Canis lupus familiaris: one gene and its partner. The protein of the gene in region 2 interacts with the protein of the main gene of each other region in a biochemical or structural test. Links are inferred from orthologs where the notes say so. Each region holds a gene or a part of one and is shown on either strand. Other genes may lie near its edges.

What was found.
Region 1: the proteins of UBC (region 2) and MYO6 form a complex in vitro, tested with the Homo sapiens proteins (6 studies listed by BioGRID, with this or other methods). The link is inferred for Canis lupus familiaris from reciprocal best matches to the Homo sapiens genes UBC and MYO6.

What each region holds. Positions count from the first base shown.
Region 1 is NC_049233.1:37,584,930-37,588,742, reverse strand, and holds the start of MYO6 (unconventional myosin-VI), read right to left. Parts: upstream 2,737-3,813; 5' UTR 2,559-2,736; exon of another isoform or gene 2,519-2,558; intron 1-2,518. UniProt on the Homo sapiens protein: Myosins are actin-based motor molecules with ATPase activity. Unconventional myosins serve in intracellular movements. Myosin 6 is a reverse-direction motor protein that moves towards the minus-end of actin filaments.
Region 2 is NC_049247.1:5,228,627-5,232,226, reverse strand, and holds the start of UBC (polyubiquitin-C), read right to left. Parts: upstream 2,182-3,600; 5' UTR 2,023-2,181; intron 1,201-2,022; 5' UTR 1,198-1,200; coding exon 1-1,197.

The DNA.
Region 1 (3,813 bases), on a different chromosome or scaffold from region 2:
ATTTAATTCTCTAAGCTTAAATTTCCTCATGTGTAAAAGGACAAGACCACCAACCTTGAAAATTATTTTGTAGATTAAATCTCTCAGTGTTCTGATTATACCAGATTCCTATATGGTATAGGAATTATACCAATTCCATCCAGTGGGTGGGTGATGATCTTATACTACCAAAGGGCCAGTTCAGGGGCACCCGGATGGCTCAGTTGGGTAAGTGTCTGCCTTTGGCTCAGGTCATGATCCCAAGTTTCTGGGATAGAGCCCCCGCATCTGGGAATCTGCTTCTCCGTCTCTCTCTGCCCCTTGTGTGCTTGCTCTCTCATTTTCTCTCAAATAAATAAATAAAAATCTTTTTTTAATTAATTCATTAATTTTAAAAAATGAGGGCCAGTTCAGAATTATTATGAAGTACATCATTAAAGGGATCACAAACTGTATGAGAGTTAGCAAAGCAGTAATACCATTTTTAGTCTTTTACTGAAAATGTTTTCATATACAAACATGAAAATTTCACAGAGGTCAGAAATCTTTTTAAAACTGACATTTTTAAATATCAAAATGAAGCTTCAATTATCAACAGTGAAAACTGGTTAATTTTCTAAAAAATGTTTTGGGTGCTTAGATTTATCCAAACCTCACAAAGCAAAAAAATTTAAAACTTTCTTAAAAGAGCTGTACTTTAGAACCCAGAGACAGCCCAGTTATCTAAACAATGGGCTACATGATACACCACAGTCTCCAGGCAAAGTCACAACAGGATGAGAAAAGAGCCTTCAGCCTCTCTCAGATTTCCTGGCCACTGTTATTTTAAAACTTGATCACATAAACATAAACAGAGGGAAAAAATCCACTTCAGATAAGCGCCATGGGTTATGACTTATGATCTGTTCTTAATACATCATATTAATTTACATTAAATATTACAATAATGCATTACACTTTTCTTGTTCATGCTTCTGGACTAATGAAGAATACGTGTATTACAGTTTTACATAATATGTATTTAGAGTTTTTAATCCTGTAATCTCTTTCTAAAGTTCTTTTACTTCTTTTTAAAATTACCTTTTGAAAACGAAAAGGTAACTCAAACTGGGAGAACAATGTCACATAGAACACACAAACGCAATAGGCAAATCTGCCTAAGACTAAAATGACTTGTTTACCACTGTGTGTATAATTCCTGCGCAATTTAAAATACTCAACATGAGCTGTATATTTAAAAGTCAATGAGTTACTTTGAATGGCTGCATTGTTTCAAGCTCTGGCTATAGCCCAATGTGTAATGTTTCTAAAATTAATGATAAAAAATACCAAGGTAATTTTTTCACGAAGCAATTTCCAAATATAAAACCACAACCCAAGGTATCTATGAAGTTTAGTTAATTTGTACAGATATGCTGTTTTCCTGCCAACCTTTGCACCATGACCATTCCAGCCCAAGTTCAAGATTCACATTTCATGGTGTGAAGAGTTTCAACTAAACCTTAAGAATTTTTAAAACTTTCACACCCTGACGATACTCAGATACTTTGCATCTACACCACCAGAGCATAACAGCAAATGAAACTTTTATTTAGCACGTACAGCAATCTGTGAAGTTGCGGCAGTGCTCCTAGCTGCTCACTAGTATCTGTAGATTAGGATGCATACATTCCTCCACTACAACTTTATGCCCCATAAAACGTAACCTGTCTCCTTAAACACTACAGAAATAGTATTTCCGACACGGATGTGCCAGTAATAACCCTACCAAATTACTTCCTACTTAAAATCCCGGGGTTGGGGATCCCTGGGTGGCTCAGCGGTTTAGCGCCTGCCTTCGGCCCGGATCGAGTCCCGGGATCGAGTCCCGCATCGGGCTCCCGGCGTGGAGCCTGCTTCTCCCTCTGCCTCTCTCTCTCTCTCTCTGTCTCTCTCTCTCATGAATAAATAAGTAAAATCTTAAAAAAAAACATCCCGGGGTTGGAGCATCTGAATGGTTTTAAGGAGTTTTTGGAAATTAACAAATATAAAAAGCTCTTGTTCGGTAGCACAAATGTCCATTAACATACTCAAAGTACTGGACCACCTAAGGACTAAAATTATCCCGTTCAGACGGTCCCACCCGGTCTTCTACATGACTAGACTATCAATTCGACAGTGGCCGGCACCTGATACGAAGGTATCTCCGAGCAGGCGGCACTGTTCCTGCGCTGGATTTCAAGCTTGTTTACTCAAGAGAAAGAACTACCACGGGGCGTCCACGTCCGGGTGGGGCACCGGAGTGCTCTGCTACCCGGGGGCAGGGAAGGGACCCACAGGTAGCCTGCTGACGACAGACCCGTGAAAACCAGAACCAGCCCCGCACCGCCGTGAGCCGCCGGCCGGGCCCAGCCGGCACCTGCCTCACCGCGCGCATCCCGGGCGGAGACCCGGCCGTCAGCCCCGGCGGCGGAGGCCCGAAGCAGCGCGGCCCGGGGACGCGAGGCCCGGACGCCGACGCCGACGCCGACGCCCCGAGGAGCGGCCCCGCGCCACTCACCGGGGTGGCCGCGAGCGCAGGTGCGCGGAGGCGAGGCTACCTGTGGCCGGCGAGGTGGAGGGCGGGGTGAAAGGTAACCAAGTCGAGCGCGAAGGGCGACTGCGTGGACAGGCTCGGAGACGCGGCGGCGGCGGCGGCGGCGACCGCGGTCCTGCGAGCTTCCTGCTCGGACAGATCCCGGGGCCGTCTCCGCCCGCCGGCCGGCGCCCCGCCGAGTCCCCGGCCCCGGCGCGCGCACGTCACGGCTACGGAGCGCCCAAGGGGGCGGGGGCGCCGCGGGCCGGGGCGGGGCGGGCCGGGGCGGGGCGGGCCGGGGCGGCCGGGCACGGGGGGCGCAGGCGCGCGCTCCCCGAGGGGGCGCTGGGCGCCCGCAGCCCCCCGCCCCGCCCCGCCCCGCCCCGCCCCGCCGCGCCGCTCGCCCCCGCCCCCGCCCCCGCCCCGCGGCGCGCAGCCTCCCGGGCGGAGGTGGGCGCGCTGGAGCGCGGGAAGGGGCCGCGGCGGGCCCGGCCGGCAGCCTCGTTCCTCCCCCTGCGGCACGGCCTTCCTCGCCGCGGTTGTCTCCAGCCCGGGTGCGGAGACCGTGGAGTCCGGCAACAGCAAGAACCAGTTCACGGAGGGAGAAAGGTGTTCAGACGCGGCCAGGACCACGCGCTTTACTCGAGGGCGTTGTTGCGGAGGGAAGAACCGCTGCTAACTAGGCTCCGGTCCGGGTCGGCTTGGGCTGCGCTGGGCTGGGCTGGGCTGAGCTACGCTGGGCTGAGCTACGCTGGGCTGGGGTGGGCTGCACTGGGATGCGCTGGGGTGTGCTGGGCGCTGGGCTGCGCTGGGCTGTGCTGGGCTGAGCTGGGCTGCGAGGCGCTGGGCTGTACTGGGATGCGCTGGTGTGTGCTGGGCGCTGGGCTGTGCTGGGCTGTGCTGGGCACTGAGCTGCGCTGGGCTGCGCTGGGCTGGGCTACGCTGGGCTGGGGTGGGCTGAGCTGGGCTGCGCTGGTGTGGGCTGAGCTGGGCTGCGCTGAGCTGGGAGGCGCTGGGCTGGGCTATGCTGGGCTGCGCTCCGCTGAGCTGGGCTGCTCTGGGCTGCGCTGGGCTGGGCTACGCTGGGCTGCGCTGGTGTGGGCTGAGCTGGGCTGCGCTGAGCTGGGAGGCGCTGGGCTGGGCTATGCTGGGCTGCGCTCCGCTGAGCTGGGCTGCTCTGGGCTGCGCTGGGCTGGGCTACGCTGGGCTGCGCTGGGGTGGGCTGAGCTGGGCTGGGAGGCGCTGGCCTACGCTGGGCTGAGCTGGGCTGCGCTGAGCTG
Region 2 (3,600 bases):
GGGCTCCACCTCCAGGGTGATGGTCTTACCCGTCAAGGTCTTCACGAAGATCTGCATGCCCCCCCTGAGGCGAAGGACCAGGTGCAGAGTGGACTCCTTCTGGATGTTGTAGTCGGACAGGGTGCGCCCATCTTCCAGCTGTTTGCCAGCAAAGATCAACCTCTGCTGGTCAGGGGGGATGCCCTCCTTGTCCTGGATCTTCGCCTTGACGTTCTCGATGGTGTCACTGGGCTCCACCTCCAGGGTGATGGTCTTACCCGTCAAGGTCTTCACGAAGATCTGCATGCCCCCCCTGAGGCGAAGGACCAGGTGCAGAGTGGACTCCTTCTGGATGTTGTAGTCGGACAGGGTGCGCCCATCTTCCAGCTGTTTGCCGGCAAAGATCAACCTCTGCTGGTCAGGGGGGATGCCCTCCTTGTCCTGGATCTTCGCCTTGACGTTCTCGATGGTGTCACTGGGCTCCACCTCCAGGGTGATGGTCTTACCCGTCAAAGTCTTCACGAAGATCTGCATGCCCCCCCTGAGGCGAAGGACCAGGTGCAGAGTGGACTCCTTCTGGATGTTGTAGTCGGACAGGGTGCGCCCATCTTCCAGCTGTTTGCCGGCAAAGATCAACCTCTGCTGGTCAGGGGGGATGCCCTCCTTGTCCTGGATCTTCGCCTTGACGTTCTCGATGGTGTCACTGGGCTCCACCTCCAGGGTGATGGTCTTACCCGTCAAGGTCTTCACGAAGATCTGCATGCCCCCCCTGAGGCGAAGGACCAGGTGCAGAGTGGACTCCTTCTGGATGTTGTAGTCGGACAGGGTGCGCCCATCTTCCAGCTGTTTGCCGGCAAAGATCAACCTCTGCTGGTCAGGGGGGATGCCCTCCTTGTCCTGGATCTTCGCCTTGACGTTCTCGATGGTGTCACTGGGCTCCACCTCCAGGGTGATGGTCTTACCCGTCAAGGTCTTCACGAAGATCTGCATGCCCCCCCTGAGGCGAAGGACCAGGTGCAGAGTGGACTCCTTCTGGATGTTGTAGTCGGACAGGGTGCGCCCATCTTCCAGCTGTTTGCCAGCAAAGATCAACCTCTGCTGGTCAGGGGGGATGCCCTCCTTGTCCTGGATCTTCGCCTTGACGTTCTCGATGGTGTCACTGGGCTCCACCTCCAGGGTGATGGTCTTACCCGTCAAAGTCTTCACGAAGATCTGCATTGTCTGTCACAAAAAAACCCAAAAAAACAAAAAAAACAATCCGGAGTGTAACAGACCACTCACATGTGAATAGAACGCTAACAGTTACTGGTCATTTTACACTAACCCAAGAACTAAAATAAACCTCGCCAAAAAACCTAAGGCGAAGAAACAGGACAGGTTTTGGAAACTCAAATAAGCTCCAAAACCAAGTTCCAGGCCCCAGGAGGAGAGAAAGCATGGATACCGGTCAAGTGAAGGCGCCGGCTTCCGTATCTTCCCCTCCCCCCTCAGTGATGTCTGGACCGGACAATCCGCAGGATCTCCCCTCCCCCGCCCCGCCTAACCCTTGTGCCCCGCGACTGACCCAAGCCGGCTCCACACACAGGAACACGCGGCCCCACCCCGGATTGTTAGCTGACAAAGCGATGACATCACATGACCGACGCGACGAGCGGGCCCCCTCCCCCCAAACGGGCGCAGGACTGCTCCGGCACTTCGGGCCCACTCGCCGCGACCGGACACGGAGCGTGGCGCCAGCGGGGCCGCGGAGCACACAGGGGCTTCCCGCCCCCACTCACTGCGCAGAGGGCCCCGTCAGGGCCCCACTGGCTCGGCGCGTCTCGCCCGCTCACAGCCATCCCGTCTCCCGGGCTCCTCACGGCCCCTCGCACCTCGGCTTCTCCCCGCACAGGAGCCGTAGCGGACGCCATTTTGCTGCGCCCCCCCCCCCAAGAGTAACCGCGCTCCGGCGCCGCGGGCAACTCCCCGGGCAGCCGGCTGCCCGGCCCCCCGCCCCTGCAGGGCCCCAAGACCCCCAGGCCCGCGCAGCGGCCCGCTCCTCACCAAGCGGCTGTGACAGAAGCGCACGGAGACGAACAACCGACCTCCCGGCCTCCACGGAACTGCCTGCGCCACGCCCGGCGCCTCCTTATATAACAATCGGCCGCGCCGCTCCGGCGGATCCCTGCGCAGAAACGCCGAGAAGGGACTACTTTTCACCGTCTTCCTGGCCTCCAGGGAGAAAACCACTGCCCCAGAATCTTCTAGGAGCCCCCGGAAACGTCGACCTGTCAAGGCTGGGCTGTAGGGCTGAATCTGGCGAGGAGAGGGCCGCGGTCCCGAGCGCCCGCGCGGAGGGATCAGCGCGCCCGTTGAGTGCTGCGTCCGCGGACGTGGCCGGCGCCGGATGCGAGGGGGGAGGGGGGAGGGGGCGAGCGCGGAGAACAGGGCCCGCGGGAGACGGGAAAACCCGGCGCGGAATCGCCGGGCGTCCGGGGCGAGCTGCCCCTGCCGCGGGACCCAGACACCCCTTCCCCTCGGCCGCAGCGGTCCCCGCGGCTCTCGAGACCCGCCCTGGGCGGAGAGGGGTTGGGCGTCGTGGTCCCTCGCCCCTCCGCGACCGCAGGGGTCCTCGCGCCGGGGCCTGCGGCCCGCCCATCCCCCCGCGCGGGCGCGGACAGGACGGATGACTCGACAGATCGCGGCGCGGGGCGGGAGGTGGGCCCGGGCTGGGCTGGGGCAGCGGGGGAGCAGGGGGTGCGGGACGGCCGAAGGCTAGAAGGGGGCGCAGAAACCCCGCACGCTTTGCCCGCACCTATTCGAGAGGCGTCTGGAAGTCCACCGAACTTTCTAGAATGTCCTTTGGCCTTCCTGTACCACCTACGCCGCCTTGTACTAGATACACACACGGAGGCATCTGGTGGACACTCAGTGGAGCTCAGACGTACAACTTCCTTAGGCCTGGGGTCTCAGAAACACAAGTCCAATCCCAGGCCTGTACATTCGTGGGCGGGGGGGGGGGGGACACAATTTAATATCCCAAATACAAAATTTGGGGCACCTGGGTGACTCAGTGGTTGAGTGCCTTTGGCTCGGGGCGTGACCCCGGGGTCCTGGGATCCAGTCCTGTGTTGAGGTCCCCGCAGGGAGCCTGCTTCTCCCTCTGCCTGTGTCTCTGTTTCTGATGTCTCATGAATAAAGATCTTTTTTTTTTTTTAATAAAGATCTTTAATAAATAATTTAATTACATTGAATTCTATGGCAAAATTCCATTTGAATAAAAGGAGAAAGACTGAAAAATAAAATACCTGAATATGGTGAAAACTTAAAAAGTTTCTGGAAGTTTACAGAGAAAAGTCCTTCACATGCTCAATCCCCCAGCCACTGTCTCTTCTGGAGCTATTCTCTGTTTCAGTGTGGAGGGGGGAAAGATCTTTTCATTTCACCCTCAAAGCTTTCAAGAAAAAAACAAATAGGAAAAGTTGCCTAAACAATGTTCTGCGGTTAAAAAAAGACTCATTCCTGTTTTAAATTATGAATATTGTATTATTTAAATTCTCAAAATGTGAATCAAAACTGCTATGTGTTTTCTTTGGTAACCCATGTAGGTACGTATTTATGAGAAAGGTCTGAGGAAGGTTT